Rhinolophus ferrumequinum: one gene and its partners. The protein of the gene in region 3 interacts with the protein of the main gene of each other region in a biochemical or structural test. Links are inferred from orthologs where the notes say so. Each region holds a gene or a part of one and is shown on either strand. Other genes may lie near its edges.

The links.
Region 1: the proteins of SNTB1 (region 3) and FRMPD4 interact in a test that uses a peptide from one of them, tested with the Homo sapiens proteins (2 studies listed by IntAct, with this or other methods). The link is inferred for Rhinolophus ferrumequinum from reciprocal best matches to the Homo sapiens genes SNTB1 and FRMPD4.
Region 2: the proteins of SNTB1 (region 3) and MAPK12 interact in a test that uses a peptide from one of them, tested with the Homo sapiens proteins (2 studies listed by IntAct, with this or other methods). The link is inferred for Rhinolophus ferrumequinum from reciprocal best matches to the Homo sapiens genes SNTB1 and MAPK12.
Region 4: the proteins of SNTB1 (region 3) and TANC1 interact in a test that uses a peptide from one of them, tested with the Homo sapiens proteins (2 studies listed by IntAct, with this or other methods). The link is inferred for Rhinolophus ferrumequinum from reciprocal best matches to the Homo sapiens genes SNTB1 and TANC1.

What each region holds. Positions count from the first base shown.
Region 1 is NC_046284.1:117,976,985-117,984,224, forward strand, and holds the start of FRMPD4 (FERM and PDZ domain-containing protein 4), read right to left. Parts: upstream 3,073-7,240; 5' UTR 2,844-3,072; intron 1-2,843. UniProt on the Homo sapiens protein: Positive regulator of dendritic spine morphogenesis and density. Required for the maintenance of excitatory synaptic transmission. Binds phosphatidylinositol 4,5-bisphosphate.
Region 2 is NC_046293.1:439,052-447,204, reverse strand, and holds the start of MAPK12 (mitogen-activated protein kinase 12), read right to left. Parts: upstream 3,244-8,153; 5' UTR 2,934-3,243; coding exon 2,809-2,933; intron 2,708-2,808; coding exon 2,578-2,707; intron 66-2,577; coding exon 7-65; intron 1-6. Other genes in the region: MAPK11 (mitogen-activated protein kinase 11), read right to left, coding at 6,166-6,248, 6,569-6,742, 6,837-6,915, 7,272-7,351, 7,572-7,646, 7,973-8,087. UniProt on the Homo sapiens protein: Serine/threonine kinase which acts as an essential component of the MAP kinase signal transduction pathway.
Region 3 is NC_046297.1:58,868,169-58,876,230, reverse strand, and holds the start of SNTB1 (beta-1-syntrophin), read left to right. Parts: upstream 1-5,062; 5' UTR 5,063-5,395; coding exon 5,396-5,966; intron 5,967-8,062. UniProt on the Homo sapiens protein: Adapter protein that binds to and probably organizes the subcellular localization of a variety of membrane proteins. May link various receptors to the actin cytoskeleton and the dystrophin glycoprotein complex.
Region 4 is NC_046291.1:63,164,635-63,172,122, forward strand, and holds the start of TANC1 (protein TANC1), read right to left. Parts: upstream 3,079-7,488; 5' UTR 1,704-3,078; intron 1-1,703. UniProt on the Homo sapiens protein: May be a scaffold component in the postsynaptic density.

The DNA of each region.
Region 1 (7,240 bases), on a different chromosome or scaffold from region 3:
TTCTTGGGGTGGGGGTGCAGTGTCCAGTTCTATGGAATTTTATTGCATGTGTAGACGGGCATAATGATCACCATAACCAGGATACGCGTTGTTATTATTTCTAAACATTGATGAAAGCCCAACTATGCCCTGAGCACTGTTAGGCACTTTTACATAATAATCTCATGAGATAAATGGATTATTTCCATTTTGGAGTGAGAAGACTTAACAATAGAAGACAAAGCATTTCCCTCTCCTTTTGGTCCTTCGGTATCAGGCCTGTGGCTAGAGATACTCTTGTGTAATGTCATTAATTTCCATATGAGGAGTTGGTTGTCTTAACCTTTATATTGTACCTTTAATAAGTCATAGCTCTTCAGGTTTTAGACGTATAAAGAGAAAGTTCACAATCTGTTCACTTTTTTGGTTGTTGTTAACTACCATGAGGCATGAAGTGAGTGAAGAGATCACACAGCAAAGAGGATCCACCCTGCAGCCCAGAATGGCAAAAGCTCCAGGTCGGAAGTCCCTTTTGCATTCCCTCAAAACCATAGCAACTCTATTTCTGCTCTTGTTTTTCTTCTGAACCCAAACAATATTTATCCTCCAGGAATTATTTCTAAAAATAAAACAAGAAGAAACATGTCTCTACCTTTGGTTTCTAAATGTTACTTGTAACCTCCGATTTCGTTTAATTCCCCACTAGAAAACACTGTCCGTTTCGCTATCTTCAGGCTCCATGCAGTTAGAAAATGTATGCCCTCAATGCTTCATGTGCCCGTCCTGCCACTGGGGCGGGGAGATTCCCATAAAGGAAATATGGTGGAGTTCACTGCGGCTCAGCCCCGAGCTATGGACCATTACTTCTTGTAACGCTCTGCCTTTCATCAACTATCAAGCCAAGTCCAGCCCAAACAGTTGGGACGCTGGGACCCCACATCTGAGTTTTTCTCTTGTTTCACTGGCCACTCCTTTTCAGTGTCTTTTCCTATTTCTTCCTCCTCTTTCTGACCTCCACAGTTGGAGTCCTTGGGGACCATCCTCAGCCTTTTGTTGCCCCGCAACAAACAATTATCTGACCCCAAATGCCAATGGAAAGTTTGCCCTAAAAGATTTTATTCAATGCTATCATATACCCAGATTCAATCCACATGTTGATGACTCCCAAATTTCAATCTCTAGTCCTGCTTTTTCTCCCCACCCCAGGTTCTTATATGCAACTGTCTCCACTTATGTCTGTTAGGTGCCTCAAACTTCACTTGTTCACATGTTTGTGGGCAAGAGTTTGCTTGTGAACAAGTGAAGTTCGAGGCACCTAACAGTAAGTGGAGACACTTGCATATAAGAACCTGGAGTTGGGAGAAAAGGCAGGACTGGAGATTGAAATCTGGCACCATCCAAGGAATTGTCTCAGATTCGAATTCTGATTTTATGGAAATCATTCGATGCATGCATACTATGACTAGAATCAAAGAATGATGGAACTGTAGGGATCTATCTCTGGGAGATGAGAGGAAGACTCAGAAGCTTTTGAGATGGACCTAAATTTATACACTTCTTGTGATGGGAGAGCCAGAATGAGAACTATTGTTTGTTACAGCTTCAGGGCTGATACGTTTTCCTGTAGCTGACTTGGCTCCCTTACGTAAAATATGTAGCTCAGTTGCTTTCGCATCATTATTTTCCTAAGTCATTGTTAGATAGACAGTTTCCTATAGTACAGGGGTCAGCAAACTACAGCCCGCAGGCCAAACCGGGTCTGCCACCTGTTTTTGTACAGCCCATGAGAATGATTTTACCATTTTTAAACAGGAAAAAGTTCCGAAGAACAATAATAATTCATGACATGTGAAAAATATATTAAAAACAAATTTTAGTGTCTGTAAATAAAGTTTTATTGGAACATAGCCACACTCATTCATTTAGGTATTGTCTCTGCCTGCCTATGCACTACAGCGGCAGAACTGAATAGTCACAACATACACCATCTGGCTGGCAAACTGAAAATATTTACTATCTGGCCCCTTACAGAAAAAGTATAGTGACCCTGGTCTACTGACAAGAGCTCAAACATTAGATTTCAAGAAAAACAAACAAACAAACATGGATTTCAGTTTTCACTCATCTGACAGTGTGATCTTTGAGTACGATTCAATGTCTGTGAACCTGAAATTAAATGGGGATCATAAGACTTTCCCTGAAGGGTTGTCAGACGTGTTAGAAGCAATGCCTGTACAGGTTTAAAATATACTAGGAACTCAACAAATATCAGCAATGACAATAATAATACTTACTAATATTATCATTAACACAAACTTTACCTTCAAAATTTCCCCTTTGGTATGCATTGAGAGTTCCTGTGTCAAATGCCTTTTGAAATGCAGGCAAATACACGACGTAAAACAACTATCCTAGCCCCTTTCATCCATTAGTTGGGTGATGACAGAACAAATTCTCATCACATCATGTTTTGACAGCAGACTGCAAGGAGGTTAATATCTTTACAATTCACGTCATTGCACCCCATCATGAATTCCCTGAGTAATCAGTTTCCTGGAAAATTGTCTCCCGAGTGATAAAGTGACACTATCTGAAATAGGAAATTATCATATCCTGCCCAATCCTCTTTCCAACTTTCTTATCCCAAGAATGTCAGAAAATAAGTTCAGTTAACAGAAAACGGGGAGCCAACATTCAGTTAACAAATAGCAGATAGAAACAGTCCCCAGGCTACCAGAACCCTACTCCTTCAGATTTCCTGGAGGACACTTAGAGTGGCCATAGAGGCCGAGTTTAGCCTTGCGTTTTGAACAGCATCGCCACAGGCATCTAGGATCAGAGTTGGGAGTATGCCTGACACTCACCTTGACCTCAGCCCTGTCCACCTCCTGTCCTTCAGAAGATTCTGCCATCCCTGGTGGCTTCTTGGCATCAGACATGCCTCCTGGCTTCCATCTCATTCCTGGAGTGCAAAAGAGGTCAATTCTAGCCCTTTTTCTTTGTGTGACCCCATCCTCTCCCCTTCTTGCATCCCGCCATTTTCTCCTGTTCTCTAGTCAGTTTGGGCTTAGCAGAGTTACTTGCAGCCTCCTCAGACTTCCTCTTCCCGCTTCACTCCCCTTTCTATGGCACTTTCTGGGATGATCCACATCTCTCACGAGTGACAAGACGTCATCTTGCTAATTAACATATGGCCTAATTATGGCGGTGTTACACTTTAGAAGACAGAATTAAAATCTGGAATGACCCAAGTAATTAGGAGGAGCAGGCAGAGACAAATGAAAGCAGCAGTGACAAAGTGAGGGTGGGCAATGACTTGGGCACGTCCTCTGAGGCTGAAAACAACTGGCCTCTACTCAGGTGCATGGACACCTGGGGATTGACTCCAAGCAGGCTGCTAATGTCACAAGGGAGTATCCTATGTAGGGCAAGAGGGGATTTTCTTTCCTCACCCTCCTCTTTATCCTCTCCTCCAGCACCCGTGGTGAGAGCAAATGAATCAGAAAAATTCATGCCCACAGAGTTGAATTTTCACAGGGTGTTGCAGAAGACCCGGGACAGTGGGGAGGGGTGCAGTGTGATAGCTTTTTTTTTTTTTTTGCACTTTCTTTTGATACTATTTTTTATTTATTTTTAATTATAATTGATATACGTGTGATAGTTTAACTGCCGTGCTGAGGTGGACACTAGAAAGTGGTTCCTACTCTGCTAGCATTTTGGCCTGGGATTAGAAAAATAAGGACATCATGTGCACATTGGTTGGGTTCCCCCAGAAGTGGACTTTGGGTCAAGAATGTGAGTACAAGGTGTTCATTTGGGAGATCTAGGAAACCCTGGCAAGGAATGAGAAAATGTGACAGGGAGGGGAAAGAACGTGATAGAAGGTATGTCAGCAAGCACGTTATCACTGTGAGCCACTGGAGCTCAATCCAGCTGGGGAGACAGAGCAGAACAGGGGTCAGCCAATTTTTCCCATAATGGGTGAGATAGTGGATGTTTCCCGCTTAGTGGGACAAATGATCTCTGTCACAACTACTCAACTCTGCCTCTGTAATGTAAAAGCAGCCATAGATAGTACAGAAATAAATGGGTATGGCTGTGTGCCGATAAAACTTTATTTGCAAAACCAGGCAGCCAGTCCAAGTGCTGTCGTTTGTCAGCCTCTTGCTGTAGAATAGTGTCTCTCAAACTTCTGTGGTGAAAAACAAAATGTTTAAAAATGTCCAAAACAAGACCTTTGTAAATACAACAACAATGAATCACTAGAAAACATGAAATAAAAAACACATTCAAAATACAAGTCTTTCAAAAAATTATTAGAATGAAAAGACACGCAATGTCTCTAATTGCTGTAAGTTTCTAAATACTCTGAAATTGTACGACTTTTCATGGTCTTATTGGCCATCTACCTATAAACTTTTGTGAAGTGTATTTTCAAGTCCCATTTAAAAAACATAGTTTCTCAGAGAATTGCTTGGTGGTGTAGCCAACCCCCGTCTCCCTCCCCCTCCCCAGGAACTGGGTACCAGAATGGTTAGATGCCCTTTAGACAATCAAATAGCAACATCATAAGTTTGAGCCTGCGGGGGCTGCAGAAAAGTCTAGGCTGGAATAATAAATTTGCAAGTCATCAGCATACAGATAGTATCCAAAACCATGAGATTGGATAAAGTCTCTGATCTGACGGGGTAAGGGTAGAGAAAGGAGCCCAGGAGGGAGGCCTAGCAGCTTCCAGCCACCCACAGGGTGGTATTATCCCTGTAGAAAGTTTGTGTAAGATGAAACATTGGTGGTTTCACAGACAAGATGGAGTTTGAAAAGCCTTTGGGGCTCCGGGAGAGAGGCAAGGGCAGAATGAGCTCTAGCTCCAACACAGAACAGTCTGGTTTTTATCAGTTTCAACACTTAAGCTTTATTTCCAGAAGAAACGATAAGGCTTGGGGTATTCACTGCTAAGTGTATTTGCTACCTGGATCTAAGTGAAAGGACCCTACGCCCCCTTTACCATTTCTATAGAAACGAAGCCACTACTGTATGCCTATGGTAGACATTGTTTACTTTCAAGTAAGCAACAATATTTTCATTATACAAAGCTTTGAATGCATGCAATCCTCTATGACAAGATTTCTGATAAATTATATTGCTTTTGAAAAAATTGGGCTTTATTGTAAAATATTTTGGTTCCAAATGACCTAATAGTCAAGAATCTGCCAAATATTATTGTGATGATTAAATTTTATGCGTCAACTTGTCTAGGCTACGGTTGCTTGGTTGGTCAAATACTAACTTAGTGAAGGTATTCTGTAGATGGTATTAACATCTACAATCAGTTGTCTTTAAGTAAAGGAGATTACACTCTGTACTGTGGGTGGGTCTTATCCAATCAGTTGAAGGCCTTAAGAGCAAAAACTGAGGTTTCCTGGAGCATAAGGAATTCTGCCTTAAGACTGTTAACAGAGAAATCTTGCCTGAATTTCTAGACTGGTGGCTTACCCTATACACTTAGAACTTAAGACTACAACATCAACTCCTGCCTGAGTTTCCAGCCTGCCAGACTGCCCTACAGATTTCAGACTTGCCAGGCCCCACAATTTTGTGGGGCAAGTCCTTAGAATAAATTTCTTTTGTGTGTGTGTGGGGGCGAGTGTGGGTGTGTGTACACACACACACATATATGCAAATATATCCTATTGGTTCTGTGTCTCTAGAGAACTTTGACTGATAAAGCTATTTATTCACAGATTTCATGTAGGTAAACATTAATAAGAAAACTATATTGAATGGTCAAGAAGCATCCTTGGTGCTCCTCTAATGACGTGTACTACCCCAGGACACCAGAGGTGCCTTCAGATGTTTGATGAATGGAAAAAAGAGGAAGGGAGGGAAACATTTCCATCTGCCAACTGAACTTTCCTGCAGTTTCTGCTTGGAAATCAAGATGGAGATGATCTGTAACTGGTGGCCTTGATGCTGACACAGACCACCCTCAGCACCTCTTGGACAGTTCACCGCGTGCCACTCAGAAAAGAAAAAGGCTGATGAGTTGTTCTTTATAGACACTGAGGGTAGACATTTCCAAAACCATAGTGACTTCTAGAAACAATATGCCATTGATAAGAAATTACTTCGAATTGCAAAATGCATCTGTGTCAAAGAAATGGATGTAGAAGACCGCACATTCTTTTGTTAGCAAAACTGAATTCAGCCAGATACACTTTCCCATGTTATTACAAAGCGAGTTCTATAATAATTAGCAACAGACTGAAAGACAGCTGATTTTCTAAATCACTTGCTTACCGATACAGGATTGCAACTCAATAGGACACTCTGAATAACTTATTTTTAGGACATATGTTTTGCATGCCATTATTTTCACAAAGAGATGTTTTGTGAAACAAATTGTTCATGTCTCTGACAGATTTTTATGTAAGAAGTAAATAGAAATACCTTCATAAGATCATAGGCCTAAATGTAAATGCAAAAACCCTAACATTTCTTGAGAAAAATCATAGGAAAATATCTTCTTGATGTTGTCGTAATCAAAGATTTTGTTAAACGTGACCCATAAAGCATTAACAATAAAATAAAAAGTGATACACTGCATTTCATCAAAATGAAAAGCTTCTGCTCACCAAAAGACACCATTAGGAAATGAAAAGGCAAACCACAGGCTGTGATCAGATTTGTAATACACAACCCATGACAAAGTACGCGAATCCGGATGCTAAATAGAACTGCTACAATCAACAATAAAAAAGACAAACAACTATGGTTTTGAAATGGGCCTTGAAAATAACACTTCACAAAAGAAGATTATAGATAGATGGCCAATAAGCACATGAAAAGATACTCAGTGTCATTAGTGATCAAGAAATGCAAATTAAAACAATGAGATGCTACTATAAACCCAGTTAGTTTAAATGGAAAGGTTAGCATTAACAAGTGGTAGCCAGGATACAGAGCAACAGGATGCTTATACACTGTTGGTGGGGATATAAATGGTGTGACATATTTGGAAGAGTTTGACACTTTCTCATATACTTTCCATAGTCTTACTTATAGGTATTTCGCTCCTTGGATGGTTACCCAGTGGAGATGAAAACATATGTCTACACAAAGACTTGCATATAAATGTTCACAGGAACTTTATTCATGGTAGCCAAAAACTAGAAACACCCAAATGTCCATCAAAAAGTGAGTGCATAATCAAATTGTGGTATATTCAAACAACGTTATATTACTCAGCAATATAAAGGAACGG
Region 2 (8,153 bases), on a different chromosome or scaffold from region 3:
ACTCACAAGTCTGTGAAATCATCCAGGGTCTCATCGGGAGTGAACACGTCCAGCAGCCCGATCACCTGGGAAGGAGGCCAAGCTCAGGTGGGATGGTGGCTCAGCAGGGCGCGTGGGGGCTTGGGCACAGCCCTGAGTCTGGCACGGTGCTCTGGGCAGAAAAGCCCCCTGCAGCTGTCCCCATCGCTCCCCACTGTGCGCAGGGCCTGGCTCTACCTACTGGCAGCACTGACGTGGCCCTGGCACACCTGCCAGGCTATTTTGGGACAGTGACAGCCGGGATCCTCAGGGGAGGGGCGGCCCCCTAATCTGGATCAGCTCCCAGCCGTCCAAGGAGCTCCAGTTCCTTGGCCCTTCCTCCCCTTCTTCCTGTCCCCATTGAAGACCTAGGACCAGGATGGGGACAGCCTCCCAGGGGAGAGCAAACATCCGGCAGGTACTTCTCAGGGCTGTGCCTCTGCTGGAGAGGCCCAGGCAGGCAGCACTATGACCAAACCAACAGTCAGACCTGGTCCTGCAGACCCCTGGTCAGGACTGAGGGACAGCAGACAGGTAATGTGACAATGGGAGCCCAGGGCTCAGGGTGACAGGGTGTCCAAGGACCCAGTGAGGCCTGCATATCCGAGTAGCCGAAGGAGCACGCTGGTGAGCCATGGGTGGCAGGGACACCTGGCAGAGGCAATGTGAATGGTAGCGGAGGCAGGATGGAGAACACTTGGAGCATCTGAGAAACATGGTGAGGAAGGCCAGGTGGCCGAGGGCCAGGCCAGGGAGTCACCACGCAGAGATCAGAGGGAGCCTAAGCAAGCCCTCACATGCCAGGTGGAGGTTTGGGTTTGGTCCTACAGCCGCCAAGAAAGGGTTTAAACAGGCATTATGTTGAATGTGGGGACAGACCGGAGTGAGGCGAGAGTGGACATGAGGTGAAGGGACAGCTAGATGACCACCAGGGCCAGAGCCATGAGCAAGCGGGGAGGAGGGAGCAGAGCAGGACACCCAGAGAGGTGAGGCCTGGGGCACTGGGAGAGTGTTTGAGCAAGAAGAGGACAGAGGACAGAGTCCCTGAGATTAAGGGGCCATCAGGTTAATGGAGACTTCTGTGCCTCTGAGGTAGAGATGGCAGCCGGAGTGGGGGGGAGGGGCAGGAGCGGGACATGTGAGTCCCCACCACCACTGCAGTCAGCCTCTCAGAGCCTCAGTGTCCTCCAAGGAAAATGGGCTCACGATAGGCGGCGCCTCCCAGCTTGTGTGCAGGGTGCTCAGGACATGGCAATGTCCAGTTTGGGCAGGTCAGGAGCTCCACAGGGATGGTAAGACCCTTGGCACAATGGGGGCGGCCCCAGCACAGATGACTGAACACAAAGTCCAGAGCCCTTGGGACGGGCAGGATGGGTGGTGGGAGTGTGTGTGCGGGGGGGCGGGGGGGAAAGCCAAATGAAGCCTGGTAGAGGAAGGGGTCAAGGCACAGGCGTGACCAGGATGTAATAAAGCCCAGGCTGCGCTGGTGTCCACCACGAGTGGATGTCACCTGGGAAGAGCCAAGGGTGGTGATGGGAAACTTGGGAGAATGAAGGACCTACCCAAGGGGCTAAGAGGGTAGGCATCAGCCAGAAACCCAGGGGACAAGTTTCCTGGGGACTCCTCATCCCGAGGGGAGGCTGTGGGCTCCAATGACCCAGGAGGGGCCAGACCATATGTCAGGAGCATGATTAGCCAGGGCCTGGGTGCCCAGACCACAAGCCCTCAGACGGCCCAGACTGGGCATGAGGCAGGAGTGGCTTGGGGAGTGGGGGTGGGCAGAGTTCTCATCCCCTGGGGGAAGCAAGGAGAAATCCCATGGCAGAGGAAGGCTCTTAGCAGCCAGCAATGGCACCAGAGAGGCCCATGGCAGACATGTGTGGTGTCCCATGGACAGGTCTGGAAGCATGGGGGTGGGGGACTTTCCCAGGTGGGGGCCCAGGTCCAGCCCTCCACACTGTCCACAAAACCCCAGCCAGAGCTGTGAAGGAAGCATCTGTGTGCTGGCCACTGGCCCAGTGTCCTCCACCACCGGAGACCCCAAGGCTCTGAGGTGACAGAGCCAGGATGCTGACTCCAATTCCATGCCTAGCTCTGCATTCCCAGGGACCCCAGGTCCTGGGGCTGCTGCTCAGGAGATGGACTGGAGCACGGTGAGTTCAGGAGAGCATCTGGGTGAGGCTGCGGGGGTGTCCCTTCCAGGAAAATAGCTCCACAGAATTTGGGGTGAGACCTGGACAATGGCCTCAGCCTGGACAAGCGTCCATCCCCTCACCAGGGCCTGGGCTGCGGAGACAGACGTGACCCCAGGAAGAAGCAGAGGCACCTTCCCAAAGACTGGCCTGGGAGGAGAGGACTAGACCCCAGGGAAGTCTCTCAGAAAGAGGTGGGCTCTGCCCTCACCACCTGCAGCCCCCACCCTTCTCCAGAGGCTGCCCTGACCCCCACCTACGCGGCACCACACAGGGGGTCCGGGTAGGTGGGACCTGGAGTTTTGGGGCAGGAAGACGAGCAGAGGCGATGGACGGGTGTCCAGAGCGGAGGCCCAGCGCGACTCACGTTCTCGTGGCGCATGTGCTTGAGGAGACGCAGCTCTCGATAGGCGCGCTTGGCGAACAGCTCCGATTGGAAGGGCCGGTACAGCTTCTTGATGGCCACTTTGGCGCCTGTGCGGCTGTCCACGGCCGAGCTGCGGGACGCACGGCTTAGCGGGAGGGTCGGGCCAACCCGCCCGGATACCCGCCAACTGGCCGGCCACACGGCCGGCCACCCCGCCCGGCTTGCGCTCACCAGACGGCGCCGTAGGCGCCGGAGCCCACGGGCTGCAGGTCCTGGTACACCACGCGCACCTCCCAGGTGGTCTTGGTCACCTCCTGGCGGTAAAAGCCCCTGCGGGCGGGCGGCGGAGAGCTCATGGCCGGACCGGGTGCCGGCCCCGCCGCAGACCCCTCGGGCGCCGCGCCCGAGCACCGGGCCGGGATCGGCGGGACTCCCTGGGCGAGCGCCCGGGGCCACCGCGCGTTTACTCCGCTCCGGGTTCTTTCCTCCGGTTCGCTTGAGCCGCCGACCCCGGCCCGACCCCAACCTTGCCTGGGTAGCGCCCTGTTCCTCCCCTGCCTGCGGACCAACCGGCCCCAGGGCCGCGCGCACGTGATACCCCCGCCCGCCCTCCAGCCTCTCCGGAAACCCGAGGCGGCGGCCGCCGGGAAGGCGGGAGGGGGTGGTGGGGGGAGCGCCGCCCGCAGCTCAGCCCAACCTCGGACCGGACGCGGCGTCTGAGACCCGCCGCCTCCTCAGTCGGGCTGAACTCCCCCGCCTGCGCGTGGGGTGTCTTAGCAGGGGCCCCGGTCTTACTAGCCCTGTCCCCAGGGCGCTGAGCCCACAGGACTTCTGTCCCCAGCCAGGTCACTGCCCACCCCCCATCCGACCCCCCCCTTAGCTGAGCGCTGTGTTCCCAAAGTCAAATCCCCACCCCCAGGAGGCCCCCTTCCCTGTGCTGATCCGTCCATCCCCCAGTATGGGTGCCCCTTCCCAAGGTGGGTAGTTGGTTCTGCCTCCCGCACTTAGGCTGCATCCCCAACACCCTTCCCGGTGACCACTGACCCCAGGCCTCCCAAACCCTGGAGCTGGAGCGTGTGGACCTGTGCACTGCCAGTGCTCTTTGCTTCTCCTCAGTTTGGCAGGTGGGAGCCTGCTCCAAGCACTTCCAAGTTCCTCTGCCTGCTCCCCCCACACACAGCTTACTGCCCCGTTTGTCCTTCAGAGCCCTGCTCCAGCCTCTCCGTTCGCTGGGGAAGGTGTGCCTGACCCCAGGGGTGAAGCAGGGCCCTACCCTGGCTCTCAGCACCTCGCTACTCCTCCATGGGGCACCATCCTTTCATGAGCCAGGTCACGTCCCCATCCTGGACCAGCCACTTTTGAAGGATAGAGCCCCCAGCCCCTTCCCACATCCTCTCCCAGCCCAGTGACCCAGGTCTGAGAGGGAGCGGGGTTACAGGACCCCGGGGCCCCTGCCCCGCCCTCTGTGCCCAGCCAGCCACCATGAATCAGCAGCTCAAGCCCAGCCAGCCAGCTTTACACCTGGTCTGCCGACTGGCTGGCGATTCTGAGCACTCAGGAGCTGGAGACTAGCCAGTGGGGACAGCCTGGGGTTACTGGAGCCACAACCAACTGTACCCCATGCCCTCATGTCCTGGGCTGCCTGTGGCACTCCACCTGCCTCGGCCAGGAAGCTCCCACCTGGCCCCCTTACTCTCTGGTGCGGCCCAGCAGGGTTCCCATTCAGACCAGACCCCCAGGTGGGGCATCTCAGCCCTGCTGCCATCCCCCACCCCACACACACAAGACTTGGCCCAGCTTGATCTCCAGGTTCCCCAAGATCTGAAGCCCAGTAGTCCTGCTGACCAGGCCCCTAGAGGTCCAACTCCCAGATGGTTTCCACCTCTAAAGCCCAGGGTAAGGACACAGAATGTCCCTGCCGTGGAGACACCCTGCCTGACGCCCATTGGGGCCCAGGCCCTCCCCCACCTGAGCTGCAGTGAGCAGTAGAGGCCAGTAGCTCAGTGTGCATCTGGAGAGCTGAAATGATCCTCTTTCCCCTTAACTAGGAAGGAAGGCTATTTCCTCCACCCCACCCAGCTCCAGGCAGGGCAGGCCTTCGTGCCCGGCCGCCTCCCTGACCACTGAGTGAAGGGGCAGTCTGGATCTGGACCAGGCGCTGAGCCTGTCCAATGAACCCCCAGCAGGGCAGCAGGCTCGGGTGTGGGAGGCCATCACACTCTGCCCCTCAGGGCCCCTGGCTGGGTAAAGCACAGAGGGTGCTGAAGATCTGGGTACCCAAGTGATCTGGCCAGTGCAGGCCTCTTGTGGGTGCAGGCCAGGCCAGGTGGGTGTGTGATGCAGAGACCTGGCCACCCCTTCGGGCAGTGGGGGCAGCAGGGCAGCTCTTGAAGCCTGGGACACAGCTGAACGAGGGGGAACTTCCTTTATTGCGAGAGCCTGGTGCGTGCCCTTGACACTCAGACCTCCCTGGGTCCTGCGAGGTCACCACCTGACAGCACCATCTGACACAGAAGTCCCTCGAGGGAGGACCCACAGCCCCAATGCGTTTGGAGCAGGGTCCTGTCCCAGAGGTGACTAGGTCAGCTCCATTCTGGCGGGAAGGATGAGGGCCGACCCGCAGACCAGAGCACCTCAGCTCTGAGAACAGGCAGAGGTGTCTTCATCAGCTCTGGGCCAAGGTCCAGGGTCCGAGTCCAGGTCCACCTCGATGTGTGCCAGCCCCCTTAGCGTCCCCCCGGCCCCTCCCGTGCTCGCTAGCTCCCCAGCTGGCACCGTGCCCTCATGCCTCAGAAACTCAAGGAGAACGCCCCAGCTTTTGCTAGCATGGCTGCACCTTGCTCACCTGAGCCCCTCACAGGGTGCACAGCAGGATCTCAGCAAATCCCCCATGACATCAGAAACTGGGGGGAGGCAAATATAGCCACCCCAACTTGAGCCTCCAGCTGGTCATGGCCACTAGCCCTCAGGCACCCACAGACTCACACATGCCTGCACACACCTTGACATGTAAATACCAGGACACACATTAGTGCATTTGTACCACACAGCACAGGGAAACACGACTCCAGGCGGATTTTCTGATTCGACACTTGGTGGCTGTCCCTGCCCTGACACCCTCCAGGGGAGACCCTGCCCAGCAACGACGGCTTTGGATCTCAGCATTTCCCAGGCTGAGCAGCTCTGACCACTGAGACCCCTCCTCTTTTGAGTCTTCAGAGTACCCTGACTCCAATGCACCACCCCCTAAAGGTAACCCACGGACTGAGGAGACCTGGAGACAGACACACTCCCCAGGGGGATTCCCTAGGCATCCAGGCCCCCCCACAGTGAGGCTCCAAGGGAGGGGGCAGGAGGACCAAGGAGGGCCGGCATGCTCGGCCCAGACTCCTGCACCCACGGCTGGCACACATGCAGCATCCCACCTGGAGCATCGTGCTGACCAGGGGTCCCAGGCCACGGGTCAAGGCTGCCAGCCACAGTGGTGCTGGGAGGCACCCCTGTGGGAACCCGGCAGGCTGAGGAAGGGGGGCAGGCAGGTGCAGTCCCCTCCTTGAGTTCCAGTGTGGCTGGCCGGCAGTGTTCCTGTCACTGCTCAATCTCCAGACTGCCAGACGGCTGCTGTGGTGGCTCTGGGGGCTTAAAGCTGAGGACTTCCTGGTAGGTGAGCTCTGGAGGGGAGTGAGGGGAAAGCTGAACTCATGCTTCCAGCAGCTCAGCACTGCGCATCTGCTTGTCTGGTGCCAGTCACCCAGCCAGGCCCACCACCCTCAGTCCACGGGCCTTCCAGAGCCTGCCCCATGCTTCCCCGGCCTCTTCTGGACACACCAACCCCATCTCTAACCGCCCCACCCCAGAGCTGGGGGCCACGTTGTGCCCCTCCCAGACCACCCTGAGGAGCTAAGGCACTTCCCGCACAGGCCTCCACGGGAAGGCAGCCCTCAGGCCCTGGGTTTCACCTCTCCCACCCCCGCCCGGCCCCCCTGCCCACCCTTCCACTCCTCCACAGTGCGGTCCTTTGCTTCAACGCTTTCATCGTAGGGCTCGGCCTCGGGCTCATCATCCGGGTCATGGTACTGGCTGAAGTAGGCGTGGGCCAGGGCATCGGCTGCACTGACCCTCTGGTCACTGTCCAGCACCAGCATCCTTCCCAGGAGGTCCACAGCTGCAGAGTGGTCAGGGGAAGGCAGGGGCTGGAGGGCAGCTCTGCATCCAGGGCCAGACGTGGAGCCCAGCCCAGACCCAGGGCCCATCCTCACCCAGGGGGTTGGCTCCACAGAAGATGCTCCTGAGGTCCTTCTGGGGCATGGGGGGCAGGGACTGGATGTATGTCCGGGCCTGTGGGCACATGGAAGGGCCTGAGGGGGCTGCTCACACCCTATTTACCCTGGCCCCAAACTAGGCAGGGGCTCGTTGAGAGAAAGCCCCACTCTCATGCAGTCCAACAGGCCTGGGCAGGGACCTGCATGGAGCAGAGACCACCTCCTTTGCCTCTGGTGGCTCCAGCATCTCACTCCCAGTGCCTTGGCCAGGGCACTGTTGTCAGTGCTGCAATTTTGCCCTCGCTGCCCCTCATGTCCACCTGCTCCCCCCGAAGGAGTCAGGCTGCCGCCTTAGGTTCCATTCCACGTGGCCCACGCTCCCCACATGGTGTCTGGTGCATGCCCCCACCGCCCTGCCTCCAGAGGACTCACATGTTCGGAGGATATCTTTGCCAGAACCTCAGGGCTCGGTGTGCCCACCACTTCCATGATACGCTTCAGCTGGTCGATGTCTGCCTGGCTCAGGAAATGCCCACTGCCAGGCCGCCAGATCCCAGATCTTGGGGCACTGCCCAGAACCTGCTCTCCTACAGCTGGGGACCATGAGCCCACGATGGCACGGCATGGGACACAGGAAGCAAGACTAGCCAGAAAGAGCCCACCTCCCTTGTCCCCCATCCCGCAGGAAGGGACACTGGCTCAACCCTCCTCCCCAACCTGCGCCAAGGATACAGTCATTTCCTGGGAAAAGGGCTTTTCCTTGGAGCAGCTCAGCCATGATGCAGCCCACAGACCAGATGTCCACTGCTGGGGAAGGGGTCTCCATCAGCCTGTCCACCCCAGGTCCCTCCTCAGAGGACTGGGGGGCTGCCTAGACGGCGCCAGTCCAGTTCCCAAATCGTACCCGGGTCCCTTCCTCCTCTAGACACAGCCCTGGGCAAGACGCACCATACTCTGCTCCTCTGAAGGCCTGTTTCTGAAAGGCCTGCTCCCAGACCTTGCAGTCCCCCACGACTGGAACACCTCCACTTAGTTGGCTTTGGGCTCCCCACCCCCATCCCCTAGGCCCTGGCATGAGCTCAGCCTGCCCACCCTGGTCCCAAGCCACAGGCAGCCCCATGAGTTGACGTCACCCGTCTGGTTGTAGTGCATCCAGTTGAGCATGATCTCAGGTGCGCGGTACCAGCGCGTGGCCACGTAGCCGGTCATCTCCTCGTCAGCCTGGCGCGCCAGCCCGAAGTCCAGGATCTAGAGCAAGCGCCTGGGGTCAGCGCCTCCCGGAAGCCCCGCCCCTCTGCCCCGCCCCCTCCAGGG
Region 3 (8,062 bases):
AGTACAAAGAGTTAATGGGGAGATTATCTGGGCAAAAAGTGCTGCCGTGGGAGGGAATAAATTGGATCATAAACAAAAATGGGCTATCAGGTTGTGAAGCAGAGTATGGAAGGAATTTTCTCAGGGATCAAGGGAGAGTACGCAGGCATGATTCCATAAAGGAAGTGGAGATGGTGTGAAAAAGAGTTAGCATTTCCCTCACAGATAGACCTCTACTTCTCAAGGTTCCAAAAGTAAGTCAACAAGCAACCTCTGGGGGCCTGAAGGTTAGCTTAGCAAGATCCTGAAATACTTAGTTGAAATTTCATTTCTTTTTCATTTCATCTGATGTTAAAGATGTGTATGGGAGAAATTTTGATTCCTTCTTCCTCTTCACCCTCGCACCAGGACATCTTGTATCCCTATTTAGACCAACTTGCTAAAAAGCTCCGAGAATGTGGTGCATGCCTTGCTTACCAGGATTTCAAAGAGCCATTTTATTCAACGTCTTTAATAAGGGATCGAACCTAGCATTCCACAGTTCTTAAAAAAGAATCAAATGTATGAACCCGTAGGAAAAGTGACTTAAATTTATATCATAGATATTAAAAGACTGCTATAAGGCTTGTTTCAACAGCCGGTTGTCATGGAAGGGAAGTAAAGGGAGTACAACTCAGTATGAGAAGGTAGAACATAAACATCTAAGTATTTTCAATCCTGCCTTGGGCTAGTCTGATCCTGGAAGCAAGTCCCCACTGTAACATTCTAAAATGAGTGAGCAATCAAATAACTCTCACCTGACTGACTGTCTGGCTGAGAATATAGGTAGTGGTCTATCTAGTTTATCAAGGACCCGCCCAGGTAAATGCCAGACACATGCAATAGAGGGTGTTTGCCAACCCATTTAAAATTGATGAAGTACCTGCTTGCCAACTGGGGCATCCCTGCTCAGCCTTCTGTTCATATGCCAACCCCCAGTCTCAGTGCTTTATCACTAACCCAGCATTACAATTTTACAGGAGCAGGTAGTCAATAAGCACTTAATCAGTGTGCATTTACATAGGGACTCAGGAGTTTTACATTTCCAGCCTCCCTCCTGCTCCTCTCTCAGTCTGTTCTCTAACTTCCCCTCAGATATCCAGGAGGTCTCCACTTCCTCCTCTTCGCTATTCACCTTGAATCCACTGTCCATCCTGTATATGGAATAATCCCCCAAAAGATGCTCCACCTGTTATTCAGGAAACAGTGCCAAACGTACAATGATCATATTTGCAAACCTAAACTTTGGCACACGTGCTCTCACCAGTAGAAGTTTACTCAGTAGGTAATAGGAAGTAATATTTGAAATCAAGACTGTCCCTGGCTATCCAAAATATATGGTTGTTGAAGCTCGTAGAAGACAAGGAGGATGGTGGTCTGTGTCATAATCCGCCAGGGCCCTACCTGTGATCCGGTCCAACCTATTTCTCTGATCTCTAATCTCTCTCTTCCTCCCATGAGTTGCCCCAGCCACTCTGACCTCCTTTTGGTCCCTTGAACCAGACAAGCTTGGTTCTGTCTCAGGTTCTTTGCACTGGCGTTTCCTTCTCCCTGGGACCCTCTTCTTTAGATCTTCCTTAGACCCCCCCCCTCTTCTTATCATCCATGCCCCAAGATCTCCTTGTCTCAGCCCCAAGATCTCCTTCTCACAAAGCCTTTCCTCAACAGTTATTAATCCCCCAGGTGCCCCTTGCTCCTAGTCACTCCAAATCCTATTACTGTGTTTTACTTTCTTCCCAGAATTTACTTCTCCTCGAAAGTATTTTACGTTTGCAGTCTTTCTTCACCTCCACCCTCCCACCCACTACGATGGCACCTCGCGGGGCACTTCTTCGCCAGTTTGTCTGCTCCCATATATGGCACCTAGAACAGTGCCTGGTGCCTGAGACATGGTAGTAGATGTAGGACACTTTGTGGAATGAGTGGATGAACACTGCCGCTCCTGCCACGCACTGTGGCTCACTCATGTGGAGCTGAGGATTGTGTGACCTGCTTTTGGAAGTCTAAGTTCACCCAAACATCTGTAGGAAAATGCACTTCCCACGGGAAAGGAACACACACCAGAGAACCCCAATTTTGCCTGGGTGGGAAATGGGAGCCAAAAGTTCAGGACAGAAGGAGGAAACAAAACAGAAGATGAAACTAAGCAAAAGAAATCTGGTAAAAAAAAAAAAAAAAAAAAAGGAGGGGGGCTTCAGATGTAATGTGTGGAATACTGAAGGTGGGCTGTTAGTCATGGCAACACAGTTGTGGCTTTGTCGCAAACTCCTGATGTGGCTTGCCTCCAATCTGCCATTGTTCTACTCTGAGCTTCAAATGCCACTCTTCTACGATGAGAAAGCTGGAAGTCTCTTCAACCCTTTCCAGTGACCATTCTTCCTAAGGGGAGACCTAGGAGAGTATAATCTGGCCTGACTGTGAGGATTACAGGGCTGCAGTGCAGTAGTCCCACCCAGAACTAAGAAATGAGTTCAGTAAGGTTTACCTTTGAGAGTCAGCATGAATAATCAGAGGCCAGGTATGCAGAGCCAGCTATCTGAGGGATAAGATTGGATTTCTAGGCCTTGAAGACCATAGCAGTAGCCAGTTTCAACATATGAACATGTCTGAAGGGGAAAAAAATGCATCAATTAGGGAAGGGCAGGGTGTTCTCTAACCTTGGAAAGAAGGCGAGGCCAGACCAAAAGCTGGCAGGACCCTTCTATGTGTGGTCTAGGAGAAGGGCCTTCCCGCTCTGGGCTTCCCTCCCAGTGGAAAGTCTGGCCTCAGGGCAAGATGGACACTGTAGCTAACAGGCTGTGAGTATTTTCAGAAAAATGTAGGGCAATGGTTGAGTCCAGACTCTTTATAGTTGACTTCGAATCCTGACTGCCATTTACTAGTCCCATGACTAGTGCTACATGAAACAGTTTTTAAATGAGTCTCTCTACTTTTCCACCTCTAAAATGGGAGTGATGATAACAGTAAGTATCCCCCCAAATTTCTGGAGGGTTAAGTTAGTATGTATAAAGCATGTAGAATAGGGGCTGTTATTATAATAATTCCATTGGCAAAGCCATCTCTATCACGCATGCCTCAGGCCTAATGGTGTTAAATATATGTCTTCCCTCCTTCTGAAGCCACTTTGAACAGCAACCTACTCCTTCCCGCGAAGCTTTGCTTACACAGAAAAAGAAAACAATAACAAAAACATGCTTATTACAAGATTCTGAGAAATTCCCATCGGAGAGCCTGCAATATCTTACGGCAGACTGGTAAATTATTTCTAGTTTTGCCTGGGGCCTCCCACTTTGCTTGACCACAGAGACAAAAGATACAGGTGCGATGCAAATGGAGGATTTTGCATCTGTACAGGAGCAGATCTGTTTTGATTTCTAAATCGTCATACTGGCATTCTAATGCTTCTCTCCACCTTAGTGTGCTTGGGTTAGAACACAGACCCTCAGGCTCTGATCTCAGCGATGTATGTGAGTCCTCAGTGCCTAAAGCAGAGGGAAGTGCCAACTGGTTTTCCCACGGGACAGTGGGACCACCTATGTCAGCTCCCTCTCTGATCCTGCTCACAGCAGCTGCTGTCCCTACCATGGGCACCTTCACATGAAAGAAAGAGCTTTTGGAAAACTGGTAGGTTAAAAATAAGAAAAGGAGGACACTGCAACTAGAAGCATGAATCCAAGGGTTCCCAGCGACCTGTCTACAGTGACTTTTCCTCCTCCTCCTCCTCCTCAAAAATAAATAAATAAATAAATAAATAAATAAATAAATAAATAAATAAAATTGTCCAAATGTTCTCATTTCATTCTGTGACTCTGCCTGGAATACCAACCACCCATTAGGGATTTGTTTGAGTTGTAAACCTTCCTCAGTGAAAAGTGTGAGTCGTTCAAGAAGACTTAGAGAACTTCCAATGATACAAATCAGTGGAAATGTGTTCAATATTTCTTTTCTCTGACACCTTGCTGGATTGGGTTTACCTTCAGGAATTTCATAGATTTTTGAGTTGTTTTTGGAGAGAGGGGAGGAAAATGTGGAAAGGGGAGGTAACCGAGAACATGAAATACTTGGAGAGGCCCATCAGTACTGCTGAGGGTTGGGGGAGAACTTGAGAAGTTCAAGGACCAGGAGGATTCTGGGAGGACTATGACATGGGTTATGTTGGCATTTCCGGATTGACCCGGGAAGGTAACCAACAATTATAATATTGTTCCCTGGGACACAGGCAGCTTGAACTCCAACTAAGCAACTTGTAAAGGAACTTTTGAGGATACAATCCGTTGCAACTGAGTTCCTAAATGGTGGGCTTCCTAGAGAAAATCTTGGGAAGAAAGACCCAGGAAGCATTTGAGAAAAAATATAGGTTGAGAAGCATAGAGCATATAATGAGCTGGAAGAACATTTGTCCCTGGGGTCTGGGGCAGGCAGCTACCTGCTGAAAACCCTGACCAGCAGAGACTCCTCTCCAGAGAGCTGGCGGAAAGAGGTCCTACATTTAAAGAGAGGGAGTTTGGGACCACTCGAGTTATGCTGACGTTTCTTTCATCCTGGGTTCTTGGGACAGCTTTCTCTCCCCCCTCTCAGAGAACTCTGGGCCTCCGTCTGAGTCTACTGAGAGTCTTGCGGTAGGAAGTGACAGGTAAGAAAGAACTCAGCAGAAGCCAAGCCTTGGTTTGAGGAAACTGGAGTGAGAAGACCTGGGTCTAGATACAATCTGGGGATTAGGACTAAAAGACAATTCAACGGGGTGAGTGAAAGGGAAAGTGGCTCAGGAGCATCCAGTAAGGGGACCATGGCAGGGACACACAGACCCAGCAAAGGTGCGGTGTGGGAACCCGCCGCAAAGGGAGAGTCAAGATGCGAGTGCTGGGGCGGTGTGGACGGAAAGCCCTAGGGAAGCTGTCCCTGCAGCGACGGGAACTCCGAGGAGGGAGGCGGGGAGGGTCTGAGCCTGCGGGCGGCGTGTGACCGCCGAGGCTGCGGCAGCTGGAACAGGTGAGCGGCGGGTCCCCGCCCTTCCCCTTCGCGGCGAGCGTGCCTCCTACCGGCTCTCCTCCGCGCTTCGCCGTGCCGCGCTGCCCTGGGTTTGGGGTTTTGCAACTGGCAGCTGGCTTTTTTTTCCCTCCCCTCCCCTGTTTCTGTCTCTCCTTCTTTTAGATTGCTCCACCCCGCCCAGGATCAGGCGAGGGGGGAACCAGCTGGGCTGCGGCTGCCAACTCGCGCCCGGCGCGGCAGCGAACTCCGGGAGTGGAGTCCCGCGTCCTGCCTTTTCCCCTCGGAGCGCGCTCTCCTCGCGCCCCCGGGCCCCGCGGCTCCCCCACGCAACCCTTCCCCACTTTTCCCCCCTTTTGCAATCACATGGCATTTTAAGAATGCCGGAAAGATGGCGGTAGCGGCGGCGGCGGCGGCAGCGGCGGCCGGGCTGGCCAGCGGGGGAGGCGGCCGGGCACAGCGCAGCGGGCTGCTGGAAGTTTTGGTGCGGGATCGCTGGCACAAAGTTCTGGTGAACTTGAGTGAGGACGCCCTGGTTCTGAGCTGCGAGGAGGGCGCTGCGGCGTACAACGGCATCGGGACCGCCACCAATGGCTCGTTCTGCAGGGGCACCGGGCACCCGGGCGCGGGCAGCTCGCAGCCCCCGGACTCACCGGCCGGGGTCCGCACCGCGTTCACCGACCTGCCAGAGCAGGTGCCGGAGTCCATCTCGAACCAGAAGCGTGGCGTGAAGGTGCTGAAGCAGGAGCTGGGAGGCCTGGGCATCAGCATCAAGGGTGGCAAGGAGAACAAGATGCCCATCCTCATCAGCAAGATCTTCAAGGGGCTGGCGGCGGACCAGACCCAAGCCCTGTACGTGGGCGACGCCATCCTGTCGGTGAACGGAGCCGACCTGCGGGACGCCACCCACGACGAGGCAGTGCAGGCGCTGAAGCGCGCTGGCAAGGAAGTGATGCTGGAAGGTAAGGGGTTAACGCCGCGCGCGGGCCGCGCCAGGCGCGCACACCCACTCACCCTCCCACAGCGCTGCTCGCACTCTCACCCACGTGCTGGGGTGTCGGAGGTGGCACGGAGTTTTGACAACTTTTACCCACCTGGGGGTAACTTGTCCCCACCCTAGAGTCGTTACAGGCTTTGACCCAGGAGAGGTGTGTGAAAAGGCGAAGCCAGCAGGGTGTCTTGAACTCCTACTATGTGCCAAGCACGGGGTAGTCTGCTAAGTGCGCACCGTCTCATTTTTATCTGCAGATAAGCCAAGTGTAGTGTAGGGGCTGGGAAGTGGAACTGGAAATGAACTGTAGACGTAGAGAGTCATCATATCCACTGTACGAAGCGAACTCACTGAGTAATCGCAACTCGGATAGTTTTTTGCTTTGTCAGAATTTCCTCCTCAGAAGCCTGGTCAACCCTCCTAAAAGGGTTGAATGGCGACGGGGCCAGAGAGAGGTGGCAGTGTTTGAATGCTCAAACTCCCACCACCCTTCTCGACTTCCCTCCTTTCCAACTGGAAACTGGGGTTATGGCTGGAGAGTTGTGCCAAGGGCTGGGAAGTGAGCTGCAGCTTTATGCAGAAGTTCACTTCTGCTGCCAGGTGTTCGGCCGGTCAGTCGGGATTCCAGGTTGCTCTGGGTGGAAAGCTGGCGAAGTGGTTTTTCTGCCTCTCTTTTCTTGGGATTTTTCCGGAGGGGTGTGAAAACAACTTTGTATTTGTAAACAGTTTCCCCTGCCTGTGAGGCATCTTAGAAACTACTCTCTTGAGAATAGTGTCCTAATTATTGAATGTGAATACAATAGGTAGTGCTTTTTGTACCTATTTGTGGTTATGTGGTGGCATGTGGAGAGAAGGGCAGTAGGGTAGTAAGCGGATAATCGGTTCTTTCCCACCACCGCTGCATTTTTCACTTGATATCTGCCTCTCTGCCACTTAACTGGCTTTGTACATACCCCTGTCAGCACTAATATTGTGTAATTATTTTATAGATTTACTCAGCTTCCCCCTAACTGTAGATTGAGCTGTCTGGGGTCTTTTATTCCGTCATGGGTCATCTCCCTTGGGCTTAGGGGCTCAGTGACAGACTTGTTGAGTGAAGGAACAAATGAACCCATACCTATTGAAATAGAATGTTCTTCTGAAATCTTGTAAACTGGTGGTTAATTTAAGTCCTAAATTAAGGACGTAAGTCAATTTTCTGTTCAACTGATGTGCTGGTATGTGAAACTGAGAAAGTTCAAAGTTGGGAAACCAACTTTGTTATGTGTGACAGCAGATATAACCTCTTGCCTATTTCCCGACCTGGAATAGGGAGGATTTCCCCTCCCTCTTATTTGCCTAAAGGATTCGTGATGTCTTCATATTTAATTGCTACCCTGGATCTAGAAAGTGGAAGGCTATTTGCTTTGGCTTGATGATTAACATAAGTAAACAGAAAAAAGTTTTCTTGACTCCAGCGTGTATTGGTTTGTGTGACAAGGGGCAGGTGAGATCTGGGGGAAGTGTAGTTTGGACTATAAACTGCTGGACACTGGTTCAGCTTGCAATATTTACTGTAAAATATCAGGGAAGACAAAGGCAGGTCATTTTTATTTCAGGCACTGCCCTTCATTATATCCCTTCTATTCGTCTGCTTGATTTCATTTTAATGAATAATGCCTTAGCAAAGAGGTAAAAAAAAAAAAAAAATCTCTCACCCAAAAAGAGGAAGAAAAGGTGACTCCCTGCAGTTGAAAATAAACAAACAAAAGACCATCAACCCGTTATGTGACTTTATTGATGTGCCACGTGAAAAGTGAGTTTTGTAAAAACCTCTAACATGACCTTTTACAACACATTGTCATATGTGGCAGGCAGCACGTCCGGGGAAGACCTCTGGGCCTTCTAGACAAGAACCAGCTGGGCTAAGGGCAGCGGTCTTATTTCCAGCCTCAGCTTGCAGAAACTGACGGCTCTTAAGAGAAGCAAGTAGAGGCCCCACTCAAAAGAGTGTCTTTTATTCTGAGCGAAGTGTTGGTCCTATTAGATGTGGTAGGAGTGATCATATGCCGTCAAATCAAACGGCAG
Region 4 (7,488 bases), on a different chromosome or scaffold from region 3:
CCTTAAGTAGCTTAAATGAGTAAAACATTCCTACTGCTACTATAATGAACATCTCTCAGTCCCTCATAAATTCTTTCATTCCCAGCAATCAAGAAGCAGCTGTTAAATCCAGGCATGGGAAGACCTCCAAGCTAGCCAGAGAAGCTTCACAACTGCTTTCTTCTCCTTCCCCTCCCCCCATCCCAGGAGTGCCAGCCTGGCAGGAATAAAGATGACCCAGGAAGGAAAAACAGAGCGAGCAGCCGATCTGGTGAAAGCAGAGATGCAGACTCCCTTCATTTCCACCACAGAGAAACACCAACTCTCTGTACCAACAAACCAGGTTTCTCTTTTCCTCTCCCATTCCCACCGCCTTCAAACACATTATTAACGTCTGCAGTCTGGTGGTCTGGTATTTCCAGAGCTAGGGACCTCAGCGATCCTAAGCCCTTTCCTCAAAAGATCTTGAACCAGGCACTTCCTCCCTGTGCCAGAGCTGGAGGCCCATCCCACGGGAAGATTCAGCTTCTCTTTACCTTGTAACCCGCCCAGACGGCGCTGCAACTCGGGTCAAGTTCAAGATGAAGGTGCCCTCCTAACCTCTCCGAGTTGACTCCAACAGGGGACAGCGCTACCGAGACGAGTCCCATCACTCCAGGCATGGGGATCTGGGGCTGCCGAGAGTGGCCTGGAGGCAGTTCAGAGGCGAAGACTACGACAGTCTCTCAGCCCCGCGTCTCCGACCCCCTGGCCGCGGCGCCTGATTTCTACCTGGCCACCGCCGCATTTCCTCCCGGAGCCTTGTACAATAAGTCAAGTAAGTTTTGAGAACGCTTGTCCTGAGACATTTCTGCCTGCAAACACAACACACAATGCTTAGGGCTTCCTTCCTAGCCAGCCGTTCCGGAAAGCTGCCGCGCCAAAGCCGGGAGCCCCGCACACCCCCAGCATTGTTCGCCTGCACCCCAAAGTCCTTCAGGAAGACGGTGCGCCCTGACATAAGTACCCTCAAAGTGACCACTCTCCAAAGAACGGGGGGATTTACAATCTTGATACAATTCTCGTCTTTCTCAGCTCTCCCTCAATACCTAATCCTACCTGGCTCACCCCCCACCACCAAAGGAACATAGATATGCTCATTGCAATGTTCTTCCAAGCGAAGCAATAGACTTTCAGCCCAGACTGGGGTATTACGACATCACCCTCCTCTGGCTTAAGTTCACCCAGCAACTTCGCGATCCGTGCTCCCCTACACTCGGAGGTCACCCTGGACCCCGCGGTGCTGGGAGCGCCTCTCCCTCGCCTCCCCCGCCCCAGGTACCAGGCGTAGCCCAAGCCCTTGCCAAGCCCGAGGGCTACAGAGGAGGCGAGAAAGGGGGCGAGGAGGCCGGGGGATTGTGCGTCCTGGGTGCCCTCGAATCCCAGCTCCGCCGGGGCCGGTTCGGTACAGCTAGGAGGGGATGGCGAAGGGAAGGCGCAGACTCTCCAGAGACGCCAGGACCAAGGCCCGGGGTGCCCAACATGTCTGTTCCTATCCCCGGAAAGCTCCTCAGTGTACCCAGTGGGGGGCGGGGGAGGATCCAGAAACTTTCCCACATGCCTTTCCACTCTCCCCATCACCCTCTCCTCCTCCCCGGGACCCTCTCCTCCCCTCTGCTCCGCTGCATCTGGCCGTGCCCCGGGCGCACAGAGGCCTGCTGCGGCGCCAGGGCGGCGGGAGTTACCTGCTGGGAAAGTTTCCAGCTCCTCGGCGCGATTCCCCACCCCCAGGGCTGGGCCTCCGGGTGCGGCCAGCTCGGCGCTCCGCGGCTGCCTCTCCTCCCGCTTCCGAAGCGGCCGCTGCTGCTGCAGCTGCCACAGCAAAGGCTGCGATCCCGCCCGTCCCCCCGCCTCGCACGGCCCACACCAGGGCCTCATTGGCAGCCCGAATCCCCGCCCTTGCGCGTGTTCCCGAAGGCACCTTCCTCTCGCGCGCGGGCCCGGGCAGCGCCTCCCGCACCCCTCCCCGCCCTGGGCTGCCGGGGCTCCCGGGACCCGTTGGATCGCGGCGCTCGAACTTTCCGCGGGGTTCAGGCCCGGCGCCCCCCTGCTCCGTCTCTCCCGGCCAGGTCTCCAGCTTTCCTCAAGGGGGCTAGTCCCTCGAGTCTGAGCTTGAGTCACTCCCGGACTGGATCAAGATGGGTGATAGTCTTTTTTTTCAATCTCTTTAAAATCAGTGAAGTGACCCGGCCTCCCCTCCTTGCTGCTTTTTAAAAACAACCGAGAAGGACATATGGGAGCAATTAACAAAGCTGAAGTTTTGGTGGATTCTTTAAGGTGACTTGTGTGACTTGTCTTGAATTTTCTCTGCCTCACTTAACTACACACACACACACACACACACACACACAAAAAAAAAACACACACTCACTTTCTGTGCAACAATGTGCTAAGATAATGGAAGGTGTAAGGAGCATCTCGCCTGCTTGCTGTGTCTTTCTTTCGCCAGAGCGAATTGGGGACGTTTAGGGACCGGAGATTGCCCTGGCGTCCCCGGGGCCCGGTGTCTACAGCCTCCTCTGACAGCTCCAGGCTGGCCCTGTGCTGTCTGTGCTACATCTACCGAAGGCTAACGACGGGCTTTTATCCGCGGGAGGAGTAGGTATGGAGCCGGGAGAATACAAAGATGCTATTATTGTTTTGGCTGGTAGGAGTGAGTGAAATTCCCAAGTTCCCAAAATGTTTTGTTATTCCCCAGTAGACCGAGATCCGGGATAGGGCCTACTGTTTCAGGAGTCCTGGTTTCGCTGGCTTCTCCTAGGAATCCCAGGCAGCCTGGGATTCCTATTCAGGCTGGGGAGCTCAGCCCACTCCACACCCAAAGCCCTTTAGACCAGACCAGACCGGCCTTGGTCACCGAAGGATCAACCAGGACTGCTGTGCCTTGTGTGGCCTGCGGGACTTGTGCAGGAGTCACCCCAACGGTGTGTCTGTAACTGGGAATACAGAAGTTGCTATAAATGGATTTATTGGCAACCTCTAACCTTGCTGTGGCAAACCCGCCTTTAAAGACAACTGTTTTAAACAAGTTCCCCCATAAAAACTTCAACCTCACGCAGAGCTTCCCAATGTAAAGATATCCGGGGAGGGGAGTGTCCATACCTAAAGTTCTTATGAAAAGGGGCAGGAAGCAAAATGCCACACTAATCGCTCTACATAAATAAAAGATGCTGAAATTTGCTGGATTTTTCACCCATGTTTCAAAGGCCTGATTATTTCTGCACTGATATTTGAGCAGTAAACATATCAGCAGCATTGAAGTTCTCCTGAAACAAAGCAAGACAGAAACATTTAAAGTAAAATATCAATTTATTAAACCAGAAAAACCTTTGACTTATTTCTTCACTCTGAAATGTCTCATTGCTGAAAAATACTGTAATATGTTTTATTTAACTTCTCTTGAAATGCATAAAAGTTAGCAATCTTTCAACAATAGATGAAAAAGCCAGACAGCAACCTTAATGATGAAAGAATGACACAAACAAAAGAAAAAAAGAGAAACTCCATGGTAGTTTTAACTAATCTGAAATATTGAGATATAAAAGAAACAATCCCGGAGAAATAGACTGGTCTGATTCCCTGCCTCAGACTTCTTTATAATTGGTAAAATGTATAATGGCAGAAATCGACAATTTGTATCACATTCTGTCTTTGGCTTTTCTAAGCTATATTCACCAAGTTTTTGATGAAATCGCGTAGTTAAATTGGGTTTTGAAGACAGTGAAATTCATTTTTTCCTCTCTATCCTCAGAGCTCCCTAAGTAGTAAGTAGAAAAACACATAAAGTAAATACGTTAATTACTGGAATCGTCTTTAGATTCTGTTTAGTTGAAAAAATGTCTTCAGAGTTTCAGAAGTCACAGTCACGAAAGAAATAACTTCATCACTGCCTAGTTAGGAGTGCTTAATATTCGAAACAGGCATATAGCTAGCAATCTGAAATTTGTACACAGAGGGCCCTGTCTCCCCTTCTTCCTGTAGTGCTTATATAATCCAAACTACATATGTTATTATGCACAATCTGATCTCCAGCTTTAAACAGCTAACATTACATACAGTATGTTATACTAAGAACATCAAAGCTGTCTGAAGCTGTGAGTGAAAATGGTACATTTTATAGAAGACAAGGCCAAAAACACCGAGTAATAAAAATTCATGGATGAGGGGGAAAAGGGGACCCATTAAGATCAAGTCTGTAAGAAAATATTTGAACATTTTCTAAGCATCAAATATGTGAAGTATTAGCTGAGCACAGGTTCAAAAAAATGATATTTGATGCTTTTTTTAAACCTGCTTTTCCTTTTAAAAATGTTAAATGTTTTTAGTTAGTTGTTAGGTGATGGTTTATTTGTATTTTAGGGGGAAGGGAGAGCAAGAATCACCTCTTGCTTTTCTTGGGGGTATTTCAGCTCATCCCATTAAGTTTAAAAAGCTCACTCATTACATTTCTGTTGATTCCAACTGAAAAAGAAATATGGATCACATGACTATTATATACTGAACACATTCACCAAACATATATACCATATACTGGATTCCATTTTTAAAGTTTCTGTCAGTCTGCCAGCAATGTAGCTTTTCTCAGTAGAATGCAAGAAAACAGCAAATAAACTGGTTATTTTACCGTGCAATTTACAGCCCAGGGCAATAGGCTGAGGAAGGCGTGAGAAAAGAATGTGGCTTGTGCGTGTTAGAATGCTTTTTCTCTTGCTCAGATTCTTAAGTACTTCTATTTTAAATCAAGCCTAAGTTAGGATCATAGCCAGTGTTTATTATAGTATGTGTAGTATAGAATACATAGTGAGAAGTGAAATGTTTAAAACAGTGTAGTAATTAAATACAAAAACTGAGACAGGACTTAAAAAAAAAAAATTAAGGCAAGGTAGGGAATCCAGACTCAAAATAATTCAGCCCACAAACACTTTTCACCTACTTTGGAGTATCTTTTAATGTTTACAGAATTCATTCTACTTTGGTCCATTCATTCTTCCTTTCCCTTTTAACATTTTGGGGAGAAAAGGAATTTTTAAAGACATGGGAATACTGAAATAGTTGGATTATAGGTAGAAATCAGCTGGGAAAAGCAATGAAATTACATACCCCTACACAGTCCGTGCATGTGTAACGATCCATGGTCACACACACATACGGATGCCATGGTCAGATGTCAGCTAATGGCAGACATTCGTCCAGGGATATTGAAAGCCATAGCTGTGCACAGTTAGCCAGGCAGTTAAATTAAAAAAGTCATCTAATGGGACATTTAAACACCTCTTCAGGTCTAGCATATGGCCTGGCGATATTGTAGAAACTCATCCAATAGGGGTGACGCAGTGAATTATTAATATTTAAACCGATAAGGAATCCATCGAGGAAAGAAAGTAGGGAGATAGATTCAGGGGTTCACATTTCCTTATAAGAATGTAGGAGTAACTAAAAGCCTGGGAGAATCTGGTTTAAGATGGCATGCCATCTGACTAGCATTTTAAATATAGATTTAGACCAATCTTCTGATGGTGAAATGATCTATAAAGAGATATAGAAATTTCCCATGTTCAGGAAGGGTGAGGTAATATAATCAGGTAGTAATCCCGCCAATAAATGTTGTTGAATCTGGCTAAGATGGCTTAAAAAGAAATGTGCCGTTTAACTTTGAATATAACAAATGCATTTTAATATTCTCCTCCCTGGGAATGATGCTTTCCCTCCTCTCAGCAAGTTGTATAAAAAGGCATTGACATAGGAGTCATAATATCTGGATTCCAGTTCTGACTTTGGCAATTGTAATTCCTGGCAATTCATTTATACTTTTTGAGCCTTGCCTCCCTCATCTATGAAATAAGGAGTACAGCATAGGATTGCCACCTCACACAGTTGCCAGGAAGATTAAATAAAATAAGGTGACACGCATTTAATAAATTAGAAAATGCTCTACAAAAGCTAACTTTTATTTAACAGACAATAAACTATGTTTTTCCCTCCCCATTACCTAGGACCAGTTTGGTTGGAATAACAACCTAAAGGCTTGATTGGAGCAGTCCAGAATACCACATTTGCCAAATGTGAAAGGAAGAGAGCCTTAAAGATGATTTAGTAGTACATAATAACTCCAATTAAGCTCTCAGAGGCTCATCTGGGGGTAAATTGGCAGTTCTTGTCTCAAACAGTAGTCAGGAACCATTTACAGAGTTATATTTTTTCCTGTGTTAGTGTTAAGGAGGGATAGTGTAGCATATGTACAATACATGGGTATCTCAGTTTATGCAGATCGACATATGGAAATTCCTAAATACACAATAGATTCATTTAAAGGAAATGTTTTCTTTAAAATATTCTTGCTGAGATTCTTTGCAAGTGCCACTACAATCTGATTTACATTTTTAATTACTAACCATCCTTTCAATTTTGTGAAATAGTATTGATAAACACTCATGAGATTAGGAGCTTCACCCACATAAATATTTTCTGTAAGACCAAGCACTATTCAAAACTCCTTTGCAAAGGAGTTTTATATTTGTATTTATTTGAAGAAATATAAATCAGAGAATAGCACCCACCAAAAGTTTTGGTTTCAGAGGGTGAAGAGCCTAGCCAAAATGGACACTTTGGTTTTGTTCAAAAATCAATTTGCTGGTCCCCCTTTGATGATCAGACAACCTAATCCAGAAAAAGAGGAGGAATATTGATACTATTGTTGATGATGATGATCAATTTTCTAGAAGGGAGAGAGGTGTCCCCACTAAAGGGCAATGCAGAATAGATGGAAGCTACTTCCAAGCCAAATTGTACGTAAAGCAGGATTCCTGCATCTAGAAGACTAGTTTTTCAACTAGTCTTGGGATTTTAATACAATAATTAGAAGTTCTATTAAAGATCTGAACATTTTAGATTTAGGGCAGAAATGTTTAAATATAAACTTTTGCTCTCTATAACTTTCATGTATGTCACGTCTAACTGTTTCAATGGCTTTAACAGGAGTCATGTCTGCCTAAGAGAAAATAGGGCACTATGTAATTATCAGGAGAAATTAAACTACTGGGCTTCATTAGCGAAGTCACCCCTTACCTAGAGCATTTGCTCTAAAAAACAGCTACTTAGTAAAGATTGATTTGACCTCCTAGTGAGCTGTAGCTAAAGCCCTGTTACCTTTCCGTGAATTCAAAGCTCTTCCTAAACCTCTTTTTGCTTTTACAGCTAATCTATTGCTTCTCACTCTTCAAGGTTTTCAGTGCCTTTGAAAAGACCACCTGAAGGGAAAGAGATTACGGATACAATTAGAATAGAAACAAGTTAAAACAAGACGTCAGGAACCCAAAATACGACAGCAACACTGGGGGTTAAAATTGGATGGTATCCTCTTAGGTTCTTCCTGCTCTTTCTCATTCTCTACACTCTCATCCTACCTTCAGGAGCCAACCAGGATGTTAGAGGCCTAAATCTTGACAAGGAATTGGTACCGTTATCGAAAGG